Pelodiscus sinensis: one gene and its partners. The protein of the gene in region 1 interacts with the protein of each later gene in a biochemical or structural test. Links are inferred from orthologs where the notes say so. Each region holds a gene or a part of one and is shown on either strand. Other genes may lie near its edges. The genes, in order: KAT2B, H4C16, EP300 and CREBBP.

What was found.
Region 2: of the proteins of KAT2B (region 1) and H4C16, one has a biochemical effect on the other in vitro, tested with the Homo sapiens proteins (2 studies listed by BioGRID). The link is inferred for Pelodiscus sinensis from reciprocal best matches to the Homo sapiens genes KAT2B and H4C16.
Region 3: of the proteins of KAT2B (region 1) and EP300, one has a biochemical effect on the other in vitro, tested with the Homo sapiens proteins (4 studies listed by BioGRID, with this or other methods). The link is inferred for Pelodiscus sinensis from reciprocal best matches to the Homo sapiens genes KAT2B and EP300.
Region 4: the proteins of KAT2B (region 1) and CREBBP form a complex in vitro, tested with the Homo sapiens proteins (4 studies listed by BioGRID). The link is inferred for Pelodiscus sinensis from reciprocal best matches to the Homo sapiens genes KAT2B and CREBBP.

The regions. Positions count from the first base shown.
Region 1 is NC_134712.1:191,345,477-191,353,053, reverse strand, and holds the start of KAT2B (histone acetyltransferase KAT2B), read left to right. Parts: upstream 1-4,570; 5' UTR 4,571-4,585; coding exon 4,586-4,736; intron 4,737-5,029; exon of another isoform or gene 5,030-5,163; intron 5,164-7,067; exon of another isoform or gene 7,068-7,221; intron 7,222-7,341; exon of another isoform or gene 7,342-7,356; coding exon of another isoform or gene 7,357-7,495; intron 7,496-7,498; exon of another isoform or gene 7,499-7,513; coding exon of another isoform or gene 7,514-7,559; intron 7,560-7,577. UniProt on the Homo sapiens protein: Functions as a histone acetyltransferase (HAT) to promote transcriptional activation. Has significant histone acetyltransferase activity with core histones (H3 and H4), and also with nucleosome core particles.
Region 2 is NC_134711.1:85,908,586-85,913,556, reverse strand, and holds H4C16 (histone H4), read right to left. Parts: upstream 1,109-4,971; 5' UTR 982-1,108; coding exon 592-981; 3' UTR 527-591; downstream 1-526. Other genes in the region: histone H3, read left to right, coding at 1-110. UniProt on the Homo sapiens protein: Core component of nucleosome. Nucleosomes wrap and compact DNA into chromatin, limiting DNA accessibility to the cellular machineries which require DNA as a template.
Region 3 is NC_134711.1:89,545,342-89,553,134, reverse strand, and holds the start of EP300 (histone acetyltransferase p300), read left to right. Parts: upstream 1-4,792; 5' UTR 4,793-6,341; coding exon 6,342-6,435; intron 6,436-7,793. UniProt on the Homo sapiens protein: Functions as a histone acetyltransferase and regulates transcription via chromatin remodeling. Acetylates all four core histones in nucleosomes. Histone acetylation gives an epigenetic tag for transcriptional activation.
Region 4 is NC_134726.1:3,553,085-3,560,010, reverse strand, and holds the start of CREBBP (CREB-binding protein), read right to left. Parts: upstream 3,017-6,926; 5' UTR 2,303-3,016; coding exon 2,218-2,302; intron 1-2,217. UniProt on the Homo sapiens protein: Acetylates histones, giving a specific tag for transcriptional activation. Mediates acetylation of histone H3 at 'Lys-18' and 'Lys-27' (H3K18ac and H3K27ac, respectively).

The DNA of each region.
Region 1 (7,577 bases):
AGTGTTCTTAGTGCTACTATCACTGTGTCTCCCAAACCAGTCCTGTGTCTCAACTCCTTATCCAAGTCTCTACTCCCCATACTTCTTATCCCAGTCTCCTATCTCCGAACTCCTCATCCCAGTTCCAATCTTTCTCCAACCCTGTCTCCCAGTTTCCTATTGAGGCAATTTGTTCCAGTTCCCACCTGGCTGTAGAGTCTTAGTCTTTCCCCACATTGGCTCCATGTCTCCTTGCCCAGCCAGTCCCAATTTCTACCTCATATAACCGCAGTCTCCTCACACTACCAGTCAGAGTCTCCTTACCCAGCCAGTCCTTGTTTTAATCTACTCTTTCCCCTGCTTGGGGAGGTCCAGCTCTTGTCCTTTCTTCATTCCTCCATGCTGCCTGTGAACCAGAAGGGGGACATTGAAATCAGAGAAGAGAGGGAGAGAGTCTCCCTGTTCTTAGATTTAAGACCTGAACCTACTGGATCAGCAGTTGCAGAGAGGGAAAGTTTTGTTCAATCAATGCAGCTCCAGGATATAGCATGTTCAGCGTTGATGGAATTGTCAGGGAATTTAGTTGTCAATCACTAATAAAGTCTCTACTGAGCATGTGTGAACTGAGATTTTTCAGAGGCGTATAGCTTGACAGGTTTGGGCAGATTTGATAAGAAAGGCTAAAGGCACACATCTCACACCAGGGTGACTTTCCCAGAAAATTTCAAAGCTGCTTCAAAGCACGAGGGTGCAGGAGTGTTTGAATAAAACACATACGAATTTGTTTAATGGATGAAACAAATCTTATTCTTGGAAACAAACACAAAATTAAATTAAATTAAATCAGCCTGAAGTGTGGAAAAAATCCACTCAAACAGCTAAAGCTTGGCAAAATTATAAGTGAAAACAAAATTTTATAATGGAAAGTGACAAACAACCTTATCTATAGGTGGCACAACCAGCTCTGCTTATAATGTGTAATGACTAAGAAATCATGCAGATGGTTTTACAAAACAGTTAAACTCCCTCCTGTGCTTACATTACTGTAATGTGACGTATAAAAAACACATCTTGTCTAGCATTGCCTCTCTAGATAAATAGATTCTTGTGTATGTTGGTCCTCAGATACAGTCCTGATAGGTACAGTATAATAACTGAGAAGTGCTGTGTATAGCACAGCTAACTATAGCATGTAGCATTGTATCTAGTAAATACACATACGTGCTGCGTATGTATGAATACTTATATACTATATATTGGAGACAGTTTGTCTCTGCATCTCTATCTGTTTTTTCAAGAACTCCTCCTAAATGGTAAGAGCTAGGAACACCAAATTTGGTATATGGCTTCCTCTTCTCCTAACCTAAAGCACAGTCAGGGTTTGGTTGTGCCAGGAAAACCAGATATGCAGGGAATGGAAAGGGAGGGGCTATTCAGATGGACGCTATAGTCATAGTGGCCACTGGAGGTAGCAAGCACTGGGAGCGCTAAATGGCAGTGTCCCCACTGGGGGAGTTGCACCACCTGACAGAAACCCTCCAATATGTTTAAGATGCCTCTGCCTCTGATTAAATTGAGGCAGGAAAAATCATTTTAAAAGTTATATGTGGACACCCCGATCTGTGATCAGTAACATCTGCTACAATATTGGCAAACACTTAATATTTTTCTAACATCATAATGTGTATTCTCCCTCTGCAGACTAACAGACCAGTAGCTTTTGCTCTCAGGCTGCAGGAACGATTTGTATGAGGGAGATTGTGCCTCACTGAAATATGTACAGAAAGCTTCTCTATACAGTGGAAATAAATGTCCATGTAACCCCTGCTTGCTGGAAGTGGTGCTCTGTCCCTCTCTGGTGGTGAGTAGGCCCATAAAGCAGGGGTACTCAACACGTGGCCTGCAGGTGGGATTCTTTGAACATGGCCTCCACTGGGAACATGCAGCACAACAGTGAGGCGTCTCCCAGGCAGGGTGAGCTTGAAAAATGCAAGCAGATGGGCTGGCTGGAACAATACAGGGTATTGGCGGTTCTAGCCCTCAGGGAGGAGGTGCTGGGAGCACTGGGACATTGTAGGTGCTGGCTGCTTAGCCTTGTGGGCAGAGCCTGAGAGGTGCTGACTGGCTCATACTAGCTATGTTTGGGTTCAGTGCTGCAACTTAAGGCTTAATCTTTGTATTCAAGCCTGTCAGTGTGAAAAAAATTATTTGCATATATATTTGCATGCAAATGCAACCACACTTAAATTGCAGCCCTCAGCATGTGCTGTATCTTTGTGTCCCCTGGGGCTTCCAAAGTTGAGTAGCCCTGTCATAAAGATTCATGAGCCCACTACAGCCTTGGCCAGTGGTTCTCAGCCCTGTGGCACAAACAGCCCACAGCTTGGACCATGTGACATGCTCAGGGCCATACAGATAGTGTACGTGTGTGTGTGTATATATATATATATATATAGAGAGAGAGAGAGTTTGGATGTGGCTCACATAACAGGTAGAGAGCTACCTAGGGCTATGTCCTCACTATCAGGTTATTTTAAAATAAAAACTCCCGAAATAACTATTTCAAAATAAGCTTATTCCTATTCACAAGCAGGAGTTATTATTTTGAAATAAAAAGCCCATTATTTTGAAATAATGGGTTTGGTAGTGTGGATGCTCGCCTTATTAGTTTGGAATAAGGGGAGTGGTTTCAAAATACAGTAAAACTCCATTGGTCCAGCACTCCTGATGGTCCGGCACCATCAGGAACCCGGAAGTGCTCCGGGCAGCCGGACCATTGGAGCTGCTCTGCCCCCGGCTTCTCTGATTCAGCCACTACTGAAACTGACCAGCGGCTGAATCGGGGAAGCTGGGGGCAGAGCAGCTGGAATGCTGCCGGTTGGTCCTGTAGCGCTGCTCCTCGGTGCTGCAGGACCAACCCGGCAGCACCCCAGCTGTCCCCGATTCAGCTGCTGCTGAAACCGACCAGCGGCTGTCTCCCGGAAGCCCTGGAGTCTGCCGCTGATCAATTTCAGCAGCAGCTGATTTGGGGACGCCTGGGACAGAGCAGCTGGGGTGCTGCCGGGTTGGTCCAGTAGCGCCGCCACTTGGCGCTGCGGGACCAACCTGGCAGCACCCCAGCTGCTCTGCCGCAGGCGTCCCAATTCAGCTGCTGCTGAAACTGACCAGCAGCGGCTGAATCAGGGACGCCGGGGGCAGAGCCGGACTATCGGAAGGGGGGGCTATGAGAGGTCTGGGGTGGCATTCCCCCCACACCACCCTAGACCCCCTCATAGCCCCCCCCTTCCGATAGTCCGGCAAATCTGATAATCCGGCACCCCCTGGGTCCTAAAGGTGCCGGATTATCGGAAGTTTACTGTAACTCCCCAATGTAGACATGCCGTGGGTGGCGTACAATGGTAAATGGGTTGAGAATCACTGGCTTGCGCTAAAACAAAGTGTTGTTCAGCTCATGCAGTAAAAGCTAACATGCTAGTGCATTTAAAAGCTTCAGAGGACCCAGATTTGAACCTACTACTGAAACCCTTTTGGAGGTTGATATTATGCACATATGAAAAAAAAAAAGTTCTGGGTATTGTTCAGATTCTGTGATTAGGGGGCTCTCTGCATGCTTCTGTTGCAGCCTGCATATTTTGAACTGACCGATCAAAAGAGTTGGTGATATCAAAAAGGCCTGATGTAAATGGGGGGAATTTCCAAGCTAAATAGGGGGTAACATGTTTTACAGTCTTGGTTATGCACAATAACATTCTGGTTAAACTAAAATCAGATTTTAAATCAATGTACTTAAATCCTTGTTTTCCCACTGATGGATACACTTACATAGGAAAATTGTACTAATTATACTGATATGATTAAACAAGTATCATTATATTGGTATAAATCCTCATGTGAACACTTTCATAACAGAATAAGTGTGTTTTCATGTCCATGGTGAGTGTCCTATTGTCTTTATTCATATTTGAAGATTAACTCATGTTTTTCCTGTTTGTTTTTTCTACATCAGAAATATCAGGTCTTGACTTCCCTATTTCTTCAGGAGGGCTGAAGAAATGCAGAGAAATAGTGAGGTCACAGTATATTGAAACTGTGTTACAGCTTTCTAAGCCCTAAATTGAGTGGGAAAGCAATGAGAAAACTTAAGATTCCTGCCTACTGTGATATTTCTATGCAACACCAGGGCTTTGAAGAAAAGACCTGATATTGCTGATATGTTTAAATATAAAAATAAAGCAGAGAAAAACAACACTTTAAAATGTGAGGAAAAATGTCACGTCATTATTAAAGAGAAGCAAAGGGGCAGAAACAATATATTTGCTAAGCAGTTTATGTTTGAGGACCAGTGGATTACTACTATAAAATGTAGACTATTTGGCTTCTGACAGACTACTTATATGAGCAAAGCTACTTAAACATGTAAGTGTTGCAAGCTGCCAGACCATAGGATTGTGGGCCTGAAGCCACAGGCTAATATTGCACAATTCACCACAGTCTCAGTAAACATATTAGTTCTGGGTATTGTTTTACTGCTGTTACTCTTAGAGCTGGTCAATACTGGTAAAGCATATAGTTAATCTTTATCTCAGGGGTGGGCAATAAAACGGTGATGGTTCACATGGGCTATCCCCTGGGGGGCCGCTGCCGCTATATTTACCTGCCCCTCCTCCTTAGGTCGGAGAGATCACAGCTCTCCTGGGCCGTGAACAGTGATCCGCAGCCAACAGGAGCTGTGATCGCCTGTACCTGCGGAGGTGCAGGTAAATATGGCAGTGAGGGGGCCTGCAAGGGGCTAATCCTGGTAGACTGGATCTGTCCTGCGGGCCAGTATTTGCCCAGCCCTGCTTTATCTGCTATTGCTACCATTTGGCTATATGGTTGAGCAAGGAGACGCATGAATCACATATTTTCTAAGTTGTGTACATGCCACTAATTAAACTGAGGATCAAATCTCTGATTTGTAATGAAAACTAAAAGCTACAAATGTTATCTTTGTGTAACTATTAAGAATGCAGAATACAAATGGAAGAGCCGTATGAGCATATTTCCTTACCTGTGTCATTCCTCTCCTTTCTCCAGGATGTGCTCCTTCCTCCCTTACCTGTCATCGCAGTCACTTCAACTGTAAACTGTTTGGGGCACAGGCCCTTCTTTCCTGAGCTTGCTCTGAAACTCTGTTTATGGTTGTGGGCACTACAAAGTAATCTTTATTACAAATAAGAATAGGATGACTGCAGGAAAGGTGGTTGGCTGACGTACCTTTGCTGTCTAGCACATACTGGAGGAGGAAGAGAAGAAGATGATGTATCTCTGAGGTCACAGTCTCCCTGAAAATGTCATCATAATATCACCCAACAACATATTTTGTATCCTGCCAAGGCTACACTGTGGCAAATTCTCCTTGAACAAGGATCATCCTCCTCTTCCTCACCCCCATTGTTTTTCATCTGCTTCCCTCCTCTCCCCTCCTCCTGTCTCTCTCAATTGTCCCTTCCTTCTCTGTCTCACACTTCTTCCCAAAGTTTGCTCTTCCCTGTCCCTTCCCTCCTGGCTCCTCCTCTTCCATGTGCCAGCAGTGTGGCCATGCTACTGGTGCTATCACATCACTGTCAGGTCTCCTCTCCTTCTGAGGGGTACTCTATTCTCTCCACATGTAATACAAGGACAGGCTGGAGGTGACTTGAAAGGGAATTATTTGTACTACAGAATGTTGATACTCCCAGGACCATTACAACCCTCTAGCTTGCCTGTCACACGGCTTGCAGCCACACAAGTGCTGCCAGTGGGAGCTAATATTTGCAGCATCACAGGTACAGCTCCTCCTCTAAGCATCAGTAAGTAAAGCCCTGCAAATCCATGGATATCTACTTTATATCCACAGATATCCACAACTGTGGATGTGGATGCATTTATCCATGGCTCATTTTTGCAAATATGGATGTGCATAAAACCCTGTGATCCAGCATTTCTCAAACTGTGGGTCCTGACCCCCTGGGGGTTGCAAGCAACTTAGAGGGGGATCGCAAGCAACTGAGAGGCTGGTTGCAGCAACGGAGAGGGGGGTCGCGATATCACAAGTTTGAGAACCCCTGCTGTAATCCTTGAAGTAACAGCTATGCCCTGGACATGGTGCACTCTGTGCTCCCCAAAACAGAATGCCTCATTTGTATGTACTGCACTATTACAGCTTGCACTGCTTTGTTTACACTAGTGCAGGCTGAAGTGGTGTTAATTTGATCCACAGATACTGAAGCAATTCAGAATGGCTTCCACCATAGGTATGAGGTGACCACAATAGGAAAAGCTCTAATCCCTTTCCTGGACAGTTGCAGAACAAAGCATACATGTTTTCATAGTGTAGCTACATGCATTGGATGGAAGTCAGTGGCTGTGCCTACCTAAGCATTTTACTTTCTCTTGCAGTACCGTAAAACCAACAGTGCAGTTCCAATGCTGGCAGCAATAGAAAAGCACTAGAACAGTCCAGCTACTGCATTTTAATCTTGATTTGGGTCAGAAGAAATCTAGATATCACACATGAGTGGTCAGTGAAGATAAGGCTGGGGGAGGTAAGCCTCCAGCTCCAGCCCCCAATCCCACCCCTTCAGCTGAGCCCCTCTCCACTCATGGGAGCCAAACCATCTCTCCGACCCTCACTATGGGGAGGGGAAGAGGGTGTCTGGGCGCACATGCCGCAGCCTCCCCGGCCTGGAGCACAGGGGAGGGAGGAGGATGTGTGGGTTCAGTCTTCCCAGCCCCCAAGCACAGGGAGGGAGAAGGGTGCATGTCTCTAACCTCCCTGACACTTGAGCATGGAGTGGGAGAAGAGTGGGTGGAGTGGCTCCAGCATCCCAGGTCAGGAGCACTGGGAGGGTGGGTGCTGGGGGCAGTAACACTCTGCCCCCAATACGCCTATAGCAGGTATTCTGGGGGGGACTGTGGGGGGGGACAGGTTGGCCATTTGGGAAAGCAGAGTCTTCTCCCGCTTATAATACTGGACGCTCATGATGTCACAATGATAAGATGCTAGTGGCCAGGCTATTCTAGCTCTCCCACCATCACTAGCACTCATGCAGCTGCCCTGGTGGTAGTATATGCTGGGAGAAGTTAAGAAAGAAAAACTTCTGTGAAGACAACTAGCCAGTTGAGATGGGGTCAGGAAAAGTGCTGAGAAGTGAGATGTCCTACATGATGCAGGACCCTTAAGAGGCCTACCTGACAATGAACTATTCAGAGCAGTAGCAGGTGAAGAAGACATGAGCTGTAACAATGCTACCATCTAACAGTGAGCTTTTCACAGAACAGTAGTGGCAGGAAAGGGAGAGACAAAGTTATTAGAAAGGCCATATTTCTCTGCACAAAGAATGCCAGAATTATATAATGGGGAATTCTATTCCAGGAAATGGTGACTCTGAAAATGATGTGGGTGCCATAGTGAATAATCATCTGAACATGAGCTCCCAGTGCTCTGCTGTTCACAGTTCGAGGAGGATGTTGGTAAAGAAGACCCACAAGAAAGGTTACACATTTAGAAAGCATGCCTTATAGTGACAGACCTAAGGAGCTCCATCTATTTAGAAAAGGTTAAGAGGTGATTTCAT
Region 2 (4,971 bases), on another chromosome or scaffold:
TGGTTGGTCTCTTTGAAGATACCAACCTGTGCGCCATTCACGCTAAGAGAGTTACTATAATGCCTAAAGACATCCAGTTGGCCCGACGCATCCGAGGGGAAAGAGCTTAAAGCCCTTATCTTGCAACCATTTAAAACACAAAGGCTCTTTTAAGAGCCACCACATTTACACGGAAAAGAGCTGTATTTCCGCTTCCTTAGGTACACGCTACTATCGGGCAAAAACACCCCACTGTTGTTTTCCCCTTTCCACCCCGCAGTCCGGATGCGCTCCCGCAAACTTAAAACTGAGAAGCCTTTAGAAATGCGCTTTTATTTTGGGGGGAGAGGAGAGGAGTGTTGGGTTTTCACTTAAGTCTTAGCGATAATGCGCTGTATAGAACGCAAAGCAAAGTATTTCTCCGTGTGAGAAGCTACCATCCGGCACCCGAGCTAATTTGAACAGCCGTCGTCTACTAATGTAACGAAGGCTTTGGCCAGACCCCAAACCATTACAGCAACAGCAGCTCCTTTTTATGAAAGCGTGGGTGGCTCTGAAAAGAGCCTTTGGGTTAGTTTTTTCTTTTCTTCTCCCTAAGAATGACTGCCAGGCTTAGCCTCCGAATCCGTACAGAGTACGGCCTTGGCGCTTCAATGCATAAACCACGTCCATAGCAGTCACCGTCTTCCGCTTCGCGTGCTCGGTGTAAGTAACAGCATCTCGAATCACGTTCTCCAGGAAAACCTTCAGCACTCCCCGAGTCTCCTCGTAAATGAGACCCGAAATGCGCTTCACGCCCCCACGGCGCGCCAAACGGCGGATAGCTGGCTTCGTAATACCCTGGATGTTATCTCTCAATACCTTCCTATGGCGCTTAGCGCCTCCTTTCCCGAGACCTTTACCTCCCTTGCCACGGCCAGACATGCTCGCTAGCTTTTCAGTCACAGCTGCATGGCGATGCCGGGTAATCGTCTCCGTATATTGCCTGAAGTCCGACCTCATTGAGAACCGCAGAGGGAAAAGGGCGGGTTATTTGTACCGTCTCCCCTCCCCCGCTCTTCGCTGTCCATGCCTCTGACTGCCGGGGCGGCGCAAGGCTCGCAAAACTAGCTTGCTTACTAAAAGGGACTGGCGCGGGGGGTTTAGGCGACTCGGGGTGAAGCGCTGGCACGAAGCATGGGGGCTCCTTTGGAAGCCCGCCTCTCCTGACGCTGGTGGGCCTCTCCTTCAGCGTGCAGATGGCTAGATTAGGAATCTCTTTACGTCACCTTTTCTATCTGTTTTTGGAATATTTTCCCTTTCGACAAATCTTACGATAACGCGGCTGCCATTGTGTGGCTTCGTTTCAAGTAGGAATCTGCGGCAAAATACGGCCAATCAGGTTCCCTCACGCACGCCTCCCTTCCTCACTCCCTGCTCCTTTCTCTGCTCCCCCGCCCCCGCCGCCGCCATTTTCCAAAGCTTGTACAAAGGAAAGGAGGGTTTAACATGTGCTTCGGCCAAAAACCGGGAGCATGGGCACTCGGATTCCCTCCCCTTGCTCCTGATTGTTTTCTTTCTTCTCGCCTAACGTGAACGATGTCGCTGCTGCTGCTGCGTCTGACCACGGATTTGAATGGTCACTGAAAACAGACCCTCGGAAATCAAAAGCTTCAGAGGGGTTGCGGAGTTACTCTGTAACAGGAAAAAACTTCAACGCCAATAAATAGTCTAGTAGCACTTTAAAGACTAACAAAACACGTACCTGGTATCATGAGTTTTCCTGGGCAGAACCCACTTCTTCTGATGACCGAAGTATACTAAGAAACAGACTCCTCTCCTATTTCACAAAGGGTACATCTACACTGCACACTTATTTCGGAATAAGTTACTCCAGAAGGAATACTCCAAAATAGTTTATTTTACAATAGCATGTCTACACTATGGGTGTGTCTAGACTACCTAGTTTTGTCGACAAAAGTGGACTTTTGTCGACAAAACTATACCAGCGTCTACACTACTGCCTCATTTTACGAGGCATAACACCTTCTGTCGACAAGAACTCTGTCGACAGAAGGTGTTATTGCCTGTAACGTTGTGTCCAGACTACGGAGTTCTGTCGACAAAGCAGCTTGTTTTGTCGACAGAACTCAATGTGTCTGGACGCTCTTTGTTGGCGGAAGTTTTGTCGACAGTATCTGTCGACAAAACTTCCGTCGACAAAACGCGGTAGTCTAGACGTACCCTATGGGAAAGCTTCAAAGATAGTCCTGAGGATGCTACCTTGATTTAGAGCCCCAGGAACCACTAGGGTGTAATGACTTTGAATGGCCCTGGGGAGGAGCTAGTTCAAAATAGCAGTAGAGGAGGGTCCACACTACAGCTATTTCAAAATAGCTATTTCAGAATAGGCATTATTCCTCATGGAATGAGGTTTACAGAAGTCAGAATAAGCCGTCCATTATTTCGAAAGAACGGAATTGCTGTGTAGACGCTCGCATTATTTCAGAATAACATCCATTATTCCAAAATAATGCTGCTGCATAGACGCATCCAAAGCAGTTGCAGAAGTCTTAGAGGGAGATTGGTAGCTTTTCTTTCATTTTTTAATGTGGACACAAAGTTTGTCTGATTTTGAAGAGGCTAGATTTTTAGTTACTTGCACTAACATACAGAGGAAAATAGAGAAATCTGCTGTAAAATATGTAATCTATGTATATTTCTTTATACACAGGGCAGTTAAGGAACTTTAGAGTAAGTATTCTTTGGTTTGCTGATCTCTGCACACCACAAGTGATAAAGGTTTTCTCAAAGTCAATCATGAAATTCGACAGTTTTACTTTTTTTTTCCTTTTCTTGCTGGAGATTGGTTTTGTTTGATTGCATCTTCCCTTCCCTCCTGCCCGTCCACCGGCAATTCGTTCATTTGGTTTGTTTACTGCTGGAGAGAAAACAATGACATGTATATGGGTTTTAACTTTGATTAAAATTACCTCCAGGTTTCTTATGGAGAATTAAACCACCTCTGTCACTAGCACTTCAATGATCCTTTTATCAGTTCTTGGGCCTCTCACTGTGCAGGGAGCCCAATAACGTTAGGAAGATATTTGGGCCTTCTCCTACTGGCATTCTTCTGTCATTCAGGGAGTAAATTGAGCGTGGTTCTCAAACCACAGCTAGCACCACCATCAAGTGTATTAGCAGGATTAGTCCCATAGGATAGTACATGACTCCTTCCCCTCCCCGTAAAGCTTGCTGTGCATGCTTCATGCTAGGAAGAGGAGTCTGTCACTTCCACAGTTTAAGACAGGAGATACACTAAGACCTGGTATCCTGCCTTTGAAAATCATTCCACCTGTGAAAGTGATGTGTTGCGGCCTACCCAGAATATGTCAAATGAGTACCAGTTTAATTGTAAGTGGAAAGGAAAGGCAGCATTGTCAGATACAGGAGATAAAAATAAAAACAAAATTTGATTGGTTCACCAACAATAACCCTGCTTTTAGGGAAGTAAGTACCTCACACAGCAGTATGCAACAAAAGTGCTGATTACCCCAAAATGAGCAGACGAAAGTTTTTTGTAAGGACAGAATGAGACAACAAAAATCTAACGTCAGCAATTGTCAGGCGAGTGGAGGAGTACCAAAATACCGAAACAGGGTATATAAGGTTGGTTGAAACAGACCAAGAGCGGACAGGTTGCGAACCCCAAAAGCCAGGTCTGATCAACCAGGTCTCCCTCCCCGGCGCTGAATCTTGCTGCCGCACATAAGCTCCGAAAGGAGAACAAATAAGCTCCGAAAGGGGAACAAACACCTGTTGCAACAAAAAATCCAAAGAAAGGAAAAACAAAGAAAAGAATATCTCCTGAATCTAAGCAATGCTTCTATCTTTCTTAACGTGAGTATTATATATTTGTTAACTCCATAAATTGTTTAACGGTAACTCAGGAGGGTATATCTGTAGGAGAAGTTATTATTTCTTGTTTTTTTTTTTTCAACTATACTGTTTTTCTACTTTTTCTTTGTATATTATATTGTCTTAAAAGAATCAAAAATAGTGAATTGATTTAAATGGAAAATTAATTATAAAGTAAATAGAAAAAAATGAATAATCTTTGTTTGACCCTAAAAAGAAGTATTCCTCTGTCTGTGGTTTCAAATCCTTTAAAGAACCAAACCCGGTTACCGAAACCACCAAGAGAAGTTAAGTACATTCCAGTTCCAGTCCGGGAATACAGACAAGCCTTCTGTTCAGATGTCAATGTGCACATTCTACAAGTATTGAACCATTTGTGCAAGTAAGACTCCAACCCAAGTGTGGCCCTACTCAGCTCAGCATGAGGTTTGTATCGCCCACTTCAGGACACACAAGGAGCAACATAGAAGAAATTCCAAAACTGAGCCATTTTCCACATTCAGGAATCTTTTAATGATTGTTCAGTTCAGTGAGTGACTGGTGCTCTCGCACTGGAGCCAGTCTCCGTGTCCATGAAATGCCCATCTCCCTGGAAGAATCGTGCACTGGCACTAACCAATATGCTTAAACAGGTTTTGTATGCAAGGACAGAGACAGCTCCATTTAAAACTTTTTAAGGCATAGCGTAATTAGTCAGGCATTGGCTGTAAGAGGAGAGGAGGGGGTAAGCGCCCACCTCCATTAATGCTTTGCCTTGGGGCCTCAGTTAGGGCTCAGGGGATTCTCCTTTAGATTCTCCCATTTAACAGACAGGTCTACAGCCCAGCAAAGCTGAAGTCTGCACATCATCATGCTTTGGAAACACGGCTTAGGCCAGGTCTACACTAGACCTGGAAGGTCAGCTTAAAGTACACAATTCCAGCTACATAGAATACATAGCTGTAGTCAGCTTCCAGCACCCACACAGCAGCAGGCCAAGAGGAGCAAATGCTCCAGTAGGCTTCCCTTACTCCTCGGGACTGCGAGGAATACAGGCGCCAGCTGGAGCTTCCCTCACTGTTTGACTTACAGGTCTAAATCAAACCCGCTAAATCA
Region 3 (7,793 bases), on another chromosome or scaffold:
TGCTGCCCATGTCCTGTGGAATGCTGGCAGAAGCATGAAGGGACATATGAATCTGGCCTATAAATATCTTGCAACACTGGCTACAGCTATGCCATGTGAATACCTGTTTTCGCTTTTCAGGGATGTCGTAAACAAGAAGCAGAAGGCATCATCTCTTACAAATATAAACAAACTTTGTTGTCCGAGCGAATAGCTGAACAAGACGTAGAACTGAGTAGACTCATAGGCTCTAAAGTTTTACACTGTTTTGTTTTTGAGTGCGGTTATTTTTGTACATAATTCTACATTTGTAAGTAGTACCTGTATTAAGTGAACTGAAAAATAGTATTTATTTTATTTTACAGAGCAAATATTTATAATAAACAATAAAATGAGCTTTGTACACATTGTATTCTGAGTTGTAATTCAAATCAATATATTTTGGCTGTGAAAATAGACAAAATTATTTATATATATGATAGTCTACTATGGTTTAAGACCACAATGAATTGCATGATTAAATGTGGTTAATCACAATTAATTTAATTGCTTGAAAGTCCTATAAATATGAATAAGTAATAAGTAATAAAATAATGAATATATTAGATTTGATATCAGGATTATACTAGTAAATTGCTCAAAATCTTAGCTATGTCCTCTAAGGTTTCTACAGTGATAGAAATATTTTTTCATAATTATGAATTTAGCAGCAAATCAGGTCAAACTACTTCCCTCATGGAAGAATAAACATATGGAAGGTATTACATAGAAAAGCAATTGAAATAAAAGAATAAAAATGAGACACCTCTATTGGTTTCTGGAGAAGAACAGGATTATGGAATCTGGAAAACCAAACACACATGCAAGAACAAACATAGGATTAAGATCAACCAAAAGAAGTAACATGTTTGGGTCTCTCTTTTAATTGGTAAAAATGCCCATGTTTTATTTCATGAATCTAAGTAAACACACATGGCAACAATCTGGCCATGTTCCACTACATGGTCTGTTCCTATGCCAAAACAACTGGGTACATTATTGTTGGAAAACAATCATGAAATACAAAGTATACAGTGTCAAAACAGAAAATTCATGTATCCATTTGCACAAAGCACAGTGCATGGTTACATAATAAAAATGCCATCTGTTTATGCAGCTATCCCATTGTGCCTCAGTTTCTCTAACTGTACAGTAGGGATAATAATACTACTACACAGGGCCTTGTGGGGTATAATTAATTTGTTATTACCAGTAATCATTATGATTGCAATGTGCACTGTGGTTATTGGATGAAAGGTGCAATAACATGAGTGTAGTTATAATAAAAAACTGTTTAGGGATATAATGTACAGGCGGCCCCCACTTTGTGACAGCCCAATTTATGACCCCCCACATTTACAAGCTTTTTGTAAGTGCAGAAGGGGCCGAAATCCCCCGACTTATGTCCTCGGCTCCACATTTACAATGGCATATGACACCTGTCATAAATGTAGACTCGAGTTACGACATCCCCAACTTGCGACGCTATCTCCAGAACCAATCACGTTGCAAGTCGGGGGCAGCCGACAGAACAGAAATATGGAGCCTGAACTTATATTATTGGTTTGAATTTTGCCTCAGATTAGTAGTAACTTGAAAGCTATTACCAGGCCAGTTATTTTGTAGCCTGTGAAAAATCAGATGACAAAATCCCCTTCCTACTCTAAGGGTACATCTACACTGCAACACTATTTTGAATACCTAGGATCAATGGTGCTGACAGTGGTTCCTCTCTATGTGATGCCTAGCATTATATCAAAGCTGCTTGGTATAAATGGAATGGTAGGAATTGACCTCAGTTCTGTGTGATAAAAAATACCAATACAATTAAAAGGTAGGGTGTAAAACTGTAGTTCAACCCATCTTAATGTACAGAATAGAGTTTTGGACAGACACAAAAGAAATCAGTGTGCTCTCCACTGTAGAGATGAAGGCAATTAAATGATAGGCAATTAACTGAAATTATGAAGGGCCTAATGAGGGTTGTCCCAATTGAAGACAAGTTCAGAACATTGGTATGGACCAGTGTTCCCCCTAATCTTTTCCATCTATGTGTGAAATAATTTTTATGTGCACTGAGGCATGTGTGAATGTGTACCACCAGTAGAAACAAAACCTAGCTGTGGGCATTTTGTTAATTATCTGGGCAGCATTTGAATCTCTCCTGAGTGACTGCACAAGCACATGGCTTACAAGGAACACTGTTATGGACATGTCTAATGGAGAGCTGACAGTTATGGTACAATGGTCCTTGCGCTGTTCTTGGACAGAAGATGACCAAGGGAGAGGATAAATACTTGGTACATAGACCAAATTTCAGCCAACCTAAACATGACTAACTTGCATGACAGCCAGGTGTACAGTTATGAGTTTTGGAAGAAGGCAATAAAAGTCTCTGACCATGAACAGGGAAGTGGCAAGAAAGAAGATACCAAATTTTGTATCCCTCTATATATTCTTTTCTTTTAGGCCTAACTCTTATAACTTGCTCTGCATGCATGGAGCCTTCTGGCTGGGCACAAAACTTGCTGAAATCACTAGGTCTGTGCATAGGTGTAAGGATCTGCTCACATGGAATAGGTTGCAAAACAGTGGCCAGATATTTAAACTGCTCGAACAGGCAGTGTCTTTATACCTAGGACAGAGCAAAGCACAACACTGATGCATACTAAATAATAGTGTAGTGTAGGTGAGATCAGAATTTGTGTTTGTGAGAAACCAACCTTGCAAAATTGTCATGAAAGCATATAAACTCCAGTACAAGATCTATGCAGCTGTACTTGCCGATTATGATTAATGATAATGAGGGAGAAACCATAGTGTATATGCCTGAATATAGGGATGTGAATGACTCATTGACTAAAGGTGTCTAGATTACAGAGTTTTTTTCAAAAAAAGTGGCCTTTTTTCGAAAAAACTTCCCCTGCGTCTAGATTGCTGCCACATTCTTTCGAAAGTAAATTGAAAGAACGCGGTAGTTTTTTCAACCTTGGAAAACCTCATTTTACGAGGAAGAATGCCATTTTTCGAAAGTGCTCTTTCGAAAAAAGGCGATATGTAATGCAAACTGTGCTTTTTCGAAAGTACTGGTTGTAGTCTAGATGCTCTTTTTTGAAAGAAGCTTTTTCGAAAGTATCTTTCGAAAAAGCTTCTTTCGAAAGAGGCTTGCAGTCTAGACATTGCCTAATTGACTATCTGATAAACAAATGCTTATTGGATAGTCGACATGCTAGTTGACTAATCACTTCCCCCCCCTTGCTGCCTCTATCAGAAAGAGGCAGCAAGGGGGAGGGAAGAAAAGCGGGTGCTTCAAGGTGGCAGTGCCATGTGGAGCCCAGGGTCTGCTGCTATGAAATGCTGTGAAGCCTGGGGCCAGCTGGGGACTGGCCTTCCAGCTGGCCCCAGGCTGCATGCAGCGTTTCAAGCAGCAGCGCTGCATGGAGCCTGGGGTTTGTTGCTTTGAAACGCCAAGTGCAGCCCAGGGCTAGCTGGGGACTGAACTCCCAGCTGGCCCCAGGCTGCATGTGGCATTTCAAAGTGGCAGCTCTGCATGGAGCTCAGGGTCAGGTGGGGATTCTGAGTCCCCCGCTGACCCGGGGCTATATGTAGTGTTGCTCAGGGGTGGATATAGGGCAGGGTGAGCCGAGTGGCCACCCCAGGCCTCGCGCTTCAAGAAGCCGCGCGCATGCGCCACCACACGTGCGCCGTGTCAAAGGGGGGGCCGCGCAAAATTGTGCTCTTCTGGGCCCCGCAAAATCCTCATCTGCCCATGGTGTTGCTGCTTTGAGCAACACTGGCAGCTCTGGAACTGTTGCTACACTTCAAAGGCTGAGGCTTATCGACTAAGCGAATAATGGATGCAAACTGCATCCACTATTCGATTAGCCAGTTAATCTAAATGTAACTTCCCTACCAGTATCTACTATATATTTGAGAGAGATTTTCTGTGTCTGTCTGTATGCTTGTTCAAGAACTCCTTCGAAGTGGTAAGAGCTAGGACCACCAAATTCAGTACTCAGCTTTCTAACTTCAAGCAAGGTACATTTTCATTATGTTTTCAAAACAACCCAAAAACCTTAATTAAGGACCCCAGCAATGTCAGGTTAATGTCAGGAGAGCGGAGCTTTGCCAGGCGGGTCAGACTCCGCTTTAGGGTGATGTATCAATGGCAGGTTACACAACGGCGTAATCTGCATCTCTGGGTAGGTACATGCATAGCTGTCGCTGTACTGCGCATCACGCAGCCACCTCGCTGAGTAGAAATCGACATAGGAAATGGGCCAGATCCTGCTCTCCTCCCCCCTCCTCCCCAGCCCTTGAAATCCAGGGTCTGAGCTGCGGGGCCTTTGTCTCTGCCGAGCCGGGAGAGGCTCCGGGCAGCCGCGCCCCCGCCCAGCGGTGCAGCAGAGGAGCTGCCCACTCCAGGTTGCGCTCCCCCGCCCCCCCCCCCCAGCAGTCGGGTTACAACAATCCTGCCACAATCAACCACCGCGCTGCGTTTTTCGGCCGACTAATAAAACAAGGAGGCGGTGGGCGGGGGAGGAAGGGTTTCTTTTCCACCCCTCCTTCTCCTTCCCCTTTAAGAGGCGGAGGTGAGGGAGTTTGCGGAAGGCCTCGATGAAGCAGGGCGCGCGGAGTGGGCGGCCTGACCTCGTGACTGCCTCTGGCCCCGCCCCTGATTCTCCCCCCCGCACCGTTCCAGCCCCCACCCTCCGCGTTCCATTGTGAGTGCGAGCTCCGCGTGGCCCCGCCTTCCCTCCGGGCCCCGCCTCCTTTTTTTCTCTTGGCTCACTTCCGGCCGCCGCCGCCGCTCGCTTCCCTCCGAGGACTCGGGAGAGTGAAGAAACAACAGCCGCCATTTTGTTTGTGTGTGAGCGACTGAGGGAGGGCGAGAGAGACCGAGCCGGACGGGGCGAGCCAGGGGGCGGGCAGCGCAGAGAGACTCAGGGGGCCCGGGCGGGGAACGGGAAGAGAAGAGAGTCCGAGACCCACCCCCGTTAACCACACCAGCCCCACAGCCAGCCGCCGAGAGCCAGGCAGCGGCACTAGGGAGTCTGCGCGCTCGGCCTCCGCTTAAAGCCCCCGTTCCACCCCGCCCCGCCCGCCTCCGGGGAGCAGAGGAGACCCCCCCCCCGCGGTCTCTTTTATTCGTGAGGGGGAGATTCTCCCCCCCCCCGTCCCGGGATTTTGGGTGGTGTCTGGACCCCCGCTGGGGCCCCCGCCCCCGAAGGCGGAGGCGAGAGGGCGTCCCAACAGCGCCTGAGAGGCGGAGAGTGACCGTCGCCGAACGCAGGGTGGGGGAGAGGAGCCTGACACCCCCCGCCCTGCCCAAACCAGCGCTAACCATCCTCAGCCACTCGGGAGGGGAAGGTAGCGCGAGAGAAGGGGGGAGGGGCCGGCTGCTGCTTCCTCCTCCTCCTGCCCTGGGATCGGTCCCTCCGCTTGCTCAGGGGGGCACCCTGCTCCTCCGGCTGGGAGAGAGCGAGAAGGGGGCGCTGAAACCCGCCCCCTGCACCTCCATCCAGGGATCGGCGCTGCTTCCATCAGGACAACAACCCCTCCTCTTTCCCCGCACGACAAGATGTGAAGCGGAGACTCTTGGGACTTATCCTCACCCTCCTCATCCTTCCAGCTCCCCGCTCTGCAGCCATTAGTGCCTGGCGAGGAAGAAGCAAGGGGAGCTGGGGACCCCGGACACGCACTGTCTTGCTTCCCTCCAGCCCCTTCGCGGGCAGTGGGTGGTGGTTTTTTTTGCTGTGTGGTGTTGGACGGGGAAGGAGCTGCTAGAGGAGGGTGATTTTTTCCCCCTCTCCTTTTTCCTCCTCCTCTCCCCTTCTTCGCCCGCCTCCTTGTGGCGATGAGGAGGAGGAGAACGACGCCGAGGAGGAAGAGGCTGATGGCGGCGGTGAGGCGGCAGCAGGAGGAGGAGACCCCCCGGAGGATGAAGATGATGGTGGCAGAGATGAGGAAGCAGCAGCAGCACAGCAGCCGGGATTAATTTGACTAAACCCTACCAGGCTCTTCTCCTTCTTTTTTGTTGCTGGCACGGGGGGAGGTTTCCGTGTTCTTCCCGTCTCCTCTCTGTCCGGGGGAAAAGGCCTCTTCCGTACCCTACTCCCCACCTTTTCCCCCCGCTGAGTCGGTGCCACCCTACCAGAGACCGAACCCGAGGGGCAGAAAAAGGGGAACTTGGCCCCCCGCGTCCTCCAGATCCGTCGCTCGCTCTCATTAGTCCACAACTGAGTCGGGGATCCGAGAGGAAGGGGAAGATTTTGGGGATCCCCGTCCCTCTGCTCGCTGTGTTTGTCTAAAAAGAATTAAAAATGGCCGAGAATGTGGTGGAGCCGGGCCCGCCTTCAGCCAAGCGGCCTAAACTCTCCTCACCGGCGCTCTCCGTGTCCGCAAGCGATGGCACAGGTCAGTCTCAGGGGCCCAGACCCCCCATGTCCCAATAATACGCCTAGAACCCTTTCCTCTCCTCTAGTTTTCCTCCTCTTCAGCTCTGTTTCTTCCTTAGTCCCTTCCCCTTTTTGTCTTTCCATTTGCACCCGTTTTTCGTCTGCATCTATGTGTATTAATCTTTTCGGAGGGTATTTAATTGCTCTTGCCCTTTATTTGTTAGATGTGATTGAGATGGGATCTTATTTATTATTCATTTGGTCACTTGCAGAAAAGACTTAACAGTTGTACAGTTTTCATCTTTATATCTCTCATTTCTGGTGGTTATAGGCATAAAATAGTGCACAAAACATCTTAACTCTTAACAGTGTCTGTATACATACACTTATGTCTCAATGTTTGTTGGATTACATGCATTGTAAAAATCCTTACATATTTTTCTTCTAAATAAGAGAGTTTTTTCCCCATTCCTCCTTTTCTCTTGTTTGCATTCTGGTTATCCTATTTACTTTTTTACCATTTCCCTTCACCTTTTCTCACCTCTCTTTTCTCTAAGGAACAGCTATCCTGGTTTTTGCTAGAAATTTCTTAGTTGTAATTTTTAAGTTCTGGATTGCAGATTTTAGTGATGTGTAAGATTTTAAGACCATGTTTATCTGCATGCAAACACATAGCGTTTCATCTTATTTGCATTAAGAATCAATATGGAGCGCAGTTCATTTTGCATCTTCCATTTCTTTGCTGTGAGACCAAAATGTCTGAAATTTCCATGTAGATTTATTGGGTTGTGAAGATGAAAGGGTCTTTTTCTTTCTTCAAGGATTTTTAACAGTGGTTTTGTATGGAGGAACAATCCATAGTTGTTCCAAAATCAAGCTAGAGGGTATAAATTTTGGGTGTCCCAATCCCCATCAAATGTAAACTAGTTGTACTGGAAATTAACAGTAAGCTGTTCTTCACTGCCTCTTATTAAGAAGCAGATGAGCATTTGGTAAAATTCTGCTTTGAGAGTTCTGAGCAGCCTGTCCCCCGTTGTTTCTCAAAACTTGCTTTTAGATCTTCTTAGGTTAAAGAAAACTTTTGGGACTCAACTCTGTCACTCCCCCTGCATATATTCTCTAGTTAATGTTGTTGTTCCCGATAGGCACCAGTTTACTTGTTCATTGTAATTGTTTGAGCTGCCAGGAAAATGAGTAAAAAATGTCTGGCCGTCACTCAGTAAACAAGATGTTTTAAATGTCTTGCTTTCTGTTGTGCATTGGTTTAACTGGAATCATCTTAATTAAAAGTTTTTTGTTTGCTCATCTTCTTAATTTGTTCTATAAAGTTTATATACCTAATTGAAAAATGTTTGCAGAGAACTTTTAGAATACATT
Region 4 (6,926 bases), on another chromosome or scaffold:
TTAAAATTATGCAACAAGAAACTCGGAGGATTTGATAAAACACACACACACGGATCCTACTGGTTAGGCAGATAAATGAAAACCCTTTCCCATGGATATTTTACTCATTAGCTTAGTTATAGGGATGAAACCTGACAATTAGTATTGGTAGTAACTAGCTTTGATTAGCATACTGTGTTGCTGGTGTAAGAACATAATCACTTTAGTCATCTAGCTAATACTGATTTATGATATACACAAGGCTTTACTTTTATCAATATATTTTGATTTTGTATTATTAAAATGCTAACTCAATGTATAATTTCAAAATTTACAGAACTATCACATTCATAAAAAAGTTCACAAGACTTAACTTCAATCATGCAAACATTACTCCAATACACAAATGAAGATTTGCCTCAAATAATTCTTACATCACTCTCGAATAATTTGAAAGAACATTCTACATCTTATCTCAACAAAAAATGTTTTTACTGGAATGATTCAAGCTAAGAAGTAATATTTATCAAGAAAACGGATTGAGTAAACCTACTCACTACTACAAAAAACAGCATGTGAAAGGGAAACAAGGGAAAACTTAGTGTTTTCATTAAATATATAGTCCAATCCTCCACTGAGACTACTCACAATAGTAAAATTAAGCATGTGTGTAAGCATTTGCATGACTGAAACCTTAATCATCATTCAACAGTACAATATGCAGCCTGCTGTTGCACGTGGCTCACATCTATCAATCTGAGAAACTGGTCAAAGGCAACATTTATGGTTGACACACAACTTTGTTATTAATCAAGAAGAGACAAGATCCCATTTTAGGTTCAGCATTTTGACTAATACTCTACTTTGGAACCCTAACAATTTGTATTGCCTTCTATATGTCAGATACAGTACTTACTCTGACAGTGTCATTTTTCATTGACTGAGGCCCTAGCCTCACAAATACTTTTGCACAGGCTTAACTGTATCTATCCTACAGATTTTGTTGAGTTCCTTGAGACTACCCAAAATGCATAAGTTTGCAAAACTGAGTTTCTCTCAAATTAAAACTTCCAAAAATAACACCTTCAAAAGTCAGTTTCAAATCTTTTACCTACTACTGTAGCAACCTAAAGTGACTATTTGAAAGATTACAAACAGTTATTTTGATTAACAGGGCATTTCACAGCATTGTGTCTACTGCCATTCACTCTCAACTCCAGTCAGTTCCAAAAAGAGTTAAAATGGCTGAGTACTACACCTGACAGGTCTTTTGGCAATTACTGTACAATCATCCCCCCCCCCCCCCCCCCCCCCGCTCATCTCTTCCCCACCTATTATGTGAAAGATGGCTATAAGACACACTGCTGTCAAGTTTATTATATGTAAACATTACGAGACTAGTGGGGATGTTTTCATGTATACAAGAAAACTGAAATGTGTAACAAGGCACGTACATATTTAGGAAAATTCTCAGAGCAGACAATCTACCATTTGTTAAACCTAGTTTTTGGGTTACGACCAGGGTTATGAATGACAATGATGAAAGCGAAGGTGAAAGCGATCGCACACACAAACGTGCACAAAAGAAAAGTGTACACTGCCTAGAAGAATATTTGTCAAATTTCCTTCCTTAAGTCTATAAAATCCTCTCCCCCCCCCCCCAAAAAAAAAGCCTCTCTTGCCCAACGCCAAAACTTTTGAAAGCAGTTACTGTAATGGAAAAATGCCTACTTCTCGAAAGCACTTCACACTGCTCATTCACACATTTATGAACAGACAAGGAGCTATTCCAGCGCACTAGGTAACTCTGCGGTCTTGTCAAAGTTACACACGCATAGGCTACGCACGAAGGAATCTGTCTACACGCACCTGGGAAACCAAAACGCCTTTGAAGAGGCTGCCCCACTCCGAGAGAAATGTACCAATGCTGAAGCTCTCTCTTTCATTTACACTTATTTCTAAAGCACAAGCCAGCGCCAGGTGAGCCCCTCGCTTTCGCCAGGTCGTGCTACGCCCTAGAGCCTTCCCCGGTGGAGCTCTAAGGTGGAGGGCTGAAGTTACACGCCGGGTCCGAGCCACGGAGCGCAGCTGGCAGGCTGGGGAGTCAGCTGCAGGCTGCTGCACTCTGGTCAGCTGGCGGGGGCGGGGTCCCGGCGAAGTGCGAGTGGCCCCGGCCGGGTGGCTCCCCTGGCAGGGGCTGCCCCCGGGGAAGCGGCGCTGCCCGCGCGGTGCCCTCACCTGTGCTGTCGCTGGCGGAGAAGCCCGGCGAGTTGAGCTTGGCTCGCTTGGGGTTGGGCGGCCCGTCCAGTAAGTTCTCCGCCATGGTAGCCGGCTCGGCGGTGCCAGCCCCGGGGCCGCCCGGTCCTGCGCGCCCGGCCGCGGGCAGCCGCCAGCAGACTCCGCGCCGCGCGCCCGGGGGAACAGCGCCGCTCAGTGCTCGGCCGGCGGCGGCCCCCGCTGCCCCATGCCCGGGCCGGGCCGCCGCCGCAGCAGGCCGCAGGGAGGAGGGCTCGGGGCGGGGTGGGGAGAGAGCCCAGCGCCCCCCCGCCTGGCTCGCTCCTCCCGGCCGCTCCCCCGCCCTCCCCGCCGCGCGAGGAGGTGCCCGGATGGCGGCTCAGTCAGTCAGGCACTCAGGGAGCATAGCGCCCCCCCACCCCGCTCCTCCGCGCCGCGTCCCCGCCCTCCCCGCCGAGCGGGGGGCTCGCCCCGGCCCCGCGCCGGGCCCCGCGCCCGGGCCCGCGACCCCCGCCCGCCCGCAGCCGCCGCCGCCGGCGGGGACAACAATGAGCGCGGCGCAGCGAGCGCGGCGGCCACTGCGCCCGGTCCCGGCGGCGGCGCCCGGCTCGCCCCCTCCCGGCCGGCGCTGCCCCGCTGGCCGAGCCCGTCTGGCCCTCCGCGGCGCTCCGTGCGGCTGCCCGTGCCCCGGCGGGCGGCCCCGCTGCCCTGGCCCGGCCCGGCCCGGCCCCGCTCCCGCCCGCGCCGCGCTCCGGCTCCGCGACAAGATGGCGGCTGTTGATTCCTCAATTAAAAAAAAAAGTTTTTTTTTCTCTTCTCTTTTCCAGGGACCATGGGGGCGGGGCGGGGGCGGGGCCGGCGTGCTGCGTCACCGCGCAGGGGGGCACGCCCCGTCCCGGAAAGAGGCGAGCCCTGCCGGAAAGCGCCGAGCTGCCCTGGAGCTCCTGGCTGGGGGAGGAGAGGATGCAAACCTATGTAAATGAGCGTGCACAGTAATCCCGCCCCTCTGGCTCCTGCTCAATTACCCCTTTGGAGCCACCTCGGAGGGGCACCTCTGCTGTCCCTAACCCCATCCCACTAGGGCAACAGCCTCCACCAAGCAGCCACACCACTCCCATGCTACTCCCTGCCCTGCCCACCTGGCCCCATGCTCTGTGCCCCCCTTCTGCAGCACCAGTGCAACGGGGCAGCACCCACCCCACTGTTCCGCCAGTGCAGAGCACTCCTGCCTGCCCTGCCATTGTGCCTCACAGCAGTGCACCCCCTCCCAGGGATCATAGCACCGGGCTGACAGGGTGCATCACCCACCAGCATTTACAGAGAGTACCAAGCTGGACTTTTGTTGCCTTGGCCTCTGCACCATGCTGCTCCCCAATAATACTAGTGCAACAGTCTGCAACACTCCCCACGCTGCCTTCTCGTTGCCCTATCTGTCCATACCCTTCACTTGCTGCTTCCTTGCAGATCCATGGTGGGCAACCTGCGGCCCATCAGGGCTCTGCGTGCAACCCGGGAGTCATTTTGTTTACCCTTGTCCATGATTGCCAGTGTCTGCTGGTTTCCTTCCACATAGTTTTCTTTCCTACCATTATCACTTAAGTGACACACACACATAGAGCAAGGGCACATGGAGGGAGGTGCGTGCTGATTGCACACAACACAGACTGTGAGAGCCGTGCGCCCCCTCTGCATCCAATCCAAGCACTGCTATTGTTCAATCAGCATACCCCTCAGAAGTTAGCAAAGCCACCCTGACCAAGGAGACCGTCTTGGTTACCACAATCTTGCATCTGATAAAGAGGGTCTTTGCCCACTAAAGCTTATGCTCCAATAAATCTGTTAGTCTACAAGGTGCCACAGGACTTCTCGTTGTTTTGACAATCTTCCAGACCACTGAGATTATGGAGGACCACTAATACAGCCCACTCACTAGCCTAGGTTGCCCATGGCTGCAGTAGATCCAAATTTCTTGCACCCAGGCGGCGTCCCTTCGTCACCCGTCCCTGATCTCATTGACAGGGCTGGCTCCAGGCACCAGCAAACCAAGCAGGTGTTTGGGGTGGCACATTGACAGAGGTGGCATTCTGGCTGGCAGGAGGAGCAGGGCAGCAGGGAGCCCTGCGGAGGCCGCCCTGAGCTGGGAACCCTGCACTCTGCTGCTCGGAGCCTGCACCTGGCCCCAGAGCTCTGGGAGGGTGGGGCGCTGGGAGGACGGAGCACCTAGCCCCAGCACAGGGCAGCCGCAGCTGGTGACGCTAAGCCTGGCGGGGCAGGCCACGGCCATGGTGGCTGCTCCCGGCAGCCAACTCACTGGACCAGAGTTCAGGGGCTCGGCGGGCACTGGAGCTCAGCCGCGGCGGGGCCCCAACTCCCAAGCAGGGAGCCTTGTGTCTGGCTGCTCGGAGGCTGCACCTGGCCCCGGAGCTCTGGGAGCTTTGCGTGGGCAGCCCTGGGTACTTCCTGAGAGGGGGCTGCGGCTGATGAGGCTGGGCCTGAGGGCCTCTTCTTTGCCTTCGTGAGTGCACACCCGCCCCCGGCCGGCAATCCCTGCTCCCGTGCACCCTTCCCACCACTCCCCCTCTCCCACCCCTCCGGCCTGTGTTCTCTCCCCCACAGCTCTCCTGCCTGTGAACCCCCCTTGACTGGCTGTCCCCCTGCCCACTATCCTGTGACCCCCCCTCCCTCCCACTTCCTCCCCCCTCTCTTCTCCTCCTAGCCCCCTGCAATCCTGCTGGGATCCCGTCTCTTCTCCCCCCTCCCCCCGCCTGGATCCCCATCCCCTGTCTGGCTCTCTAAACATTCCCCCCCTCCCTCCCCTCCCCCACACACCTGCCCAGGAACCCAGCCCCCTTGTGCTGTGTCCTGACAACCTCACCCCTGGCTGGGACCCAGGTGATTCTCCCTCTCCCTTTGTCTAAGGAAGGGGAACTCTGGTGCTCACAGTGCCTGTGTCCCCAAGTCCCTCCCTGAACAGAAAAAGGGGGGGCGGCCAAAAAATTTTTTGCTTGGGGCGGCAAAAAACCTAGAGCCGGCTCTGCTCATTGATGAAAAATAGCGCACAACCTGCCTACACAACGGCACCCAAATCTCTTAGCAACATTCCCCCATACCCCCTTAATGCTGACCTGTATCTCTCATGCTGTCTTTTCCATAATGCCCTTTGTGGTGTCCGTACCTTCCCACACAACAAGCCTGTGTCCCCTCCATTACTTCTCTATGATGTCCACCCACAGCCCCCATGCTGCCACCCTGTGGTTCCTAAATGTCTAAGTGATGCTCTCCACCCACATGTACCCAATCCCTGCAGAACCCAGACCTCCACACAACACTTGCCCACATGACTATCATGCAGCTTCCCCGCATTTTTCAGCCTCACACTGGCATCCTATAGCATGTGCACACCCCCAGACATCGTCCCCAAAACACAAACCTATCGGTGCACTCCTTTGCTGCCTTCATGCAATGTATGCACACCCATCACAAAATAATATAATACTCGTGATACATAAAGCTCATGATGCCATCTACATTTTTGTTAGTCTCTAAGGTGCTGCAAGACTATTTGTTGTTTTTTAAGTTTTTCCAGTTACGAACTAACATAGCTACCCCTCTGAAACATAAGAACGGCCATGCTAGGTCAGACCAAAGGTCCATCTAGACCAGTATCCTGTCTTCCAACAGTGGCCAATGCCAGGTGTCTTAGAGGAATGAACAGAAACAGGTAATCATCAAGTGATCTCTCTCCTGTCATCCATTTCCAGCTCCTGATAAACAGAGATACCATTCCTACCCATTCTGGCTAATAAGCAGGGCTCAACAATTAGGGCAATCTACTCGCCTGTGGCGAGTAGATTTTAGCCCAGCATGGCGCCGCAGCGCGATCTGTGCATGCGCAGCGCGGTCTGTGCATGCACAGCGTGCCAAACCGCGCAGCTGGCGAGCAGGGCTCGCCGCCGCTTGTCAAGCCCTGCTAATAAATATTGATGGACCTAACTTTCATTAATTTACCTACTTCTTTTTTAACCCTGTTCAAGTCCTGGTCTTCACAACATCCAATATGCACTTCCCCTTTGCATATTAACAAAAATACATCTCAAGACACAGTTCCTCCCCCAGACAGCTTTGCAATCTAATTTTAAGAAAAGAAATACATGGAGGAAGGAAGGAAGAAGGATTTGGCAGCTAGGAGAGACATTGCTTGTCAGAAGTGATACGGGGCTGCAGAACTCTCAACTTTTTTAATGACTTTTTCTATTTTTCAAATGCTCAATCAGTGAAACTTGGACCCTGGCTTGGGTCAATCCTTACCTAGAGTTTTCTCACTTCCCACATCTGTGTTCAATGATCTTGGAAACAAAGGGTTTACCAGAATCTATAGCAGTTCACAGCATCCTTCCTCCAGTTCCGAACCAATATATTCTGGTTCACAAGAGGATGATAAACCTTGCGTTGTTACTAGGATATGGATTTGCAGTGGTAGTGGGTAACCCACTGGGGTATGTGTGTTACAGGTCCTGCTCTGTTCCAAGCTGCAGAGGATATGAGTTGTTACAGCCCGTTGCTCTAAAGCTTTGGCTGTAGCAGCTTGTGCTTTTAGCTTTAAGGGACCATGGTTCGAGCCCTGGTGTTTTAGCAAAGATGGTGGCTATCGCTGTGGCATAGTAGCTCCGGACTGTTCTGACATAGTTCCGTGAACATATTTCTCTCGAGTA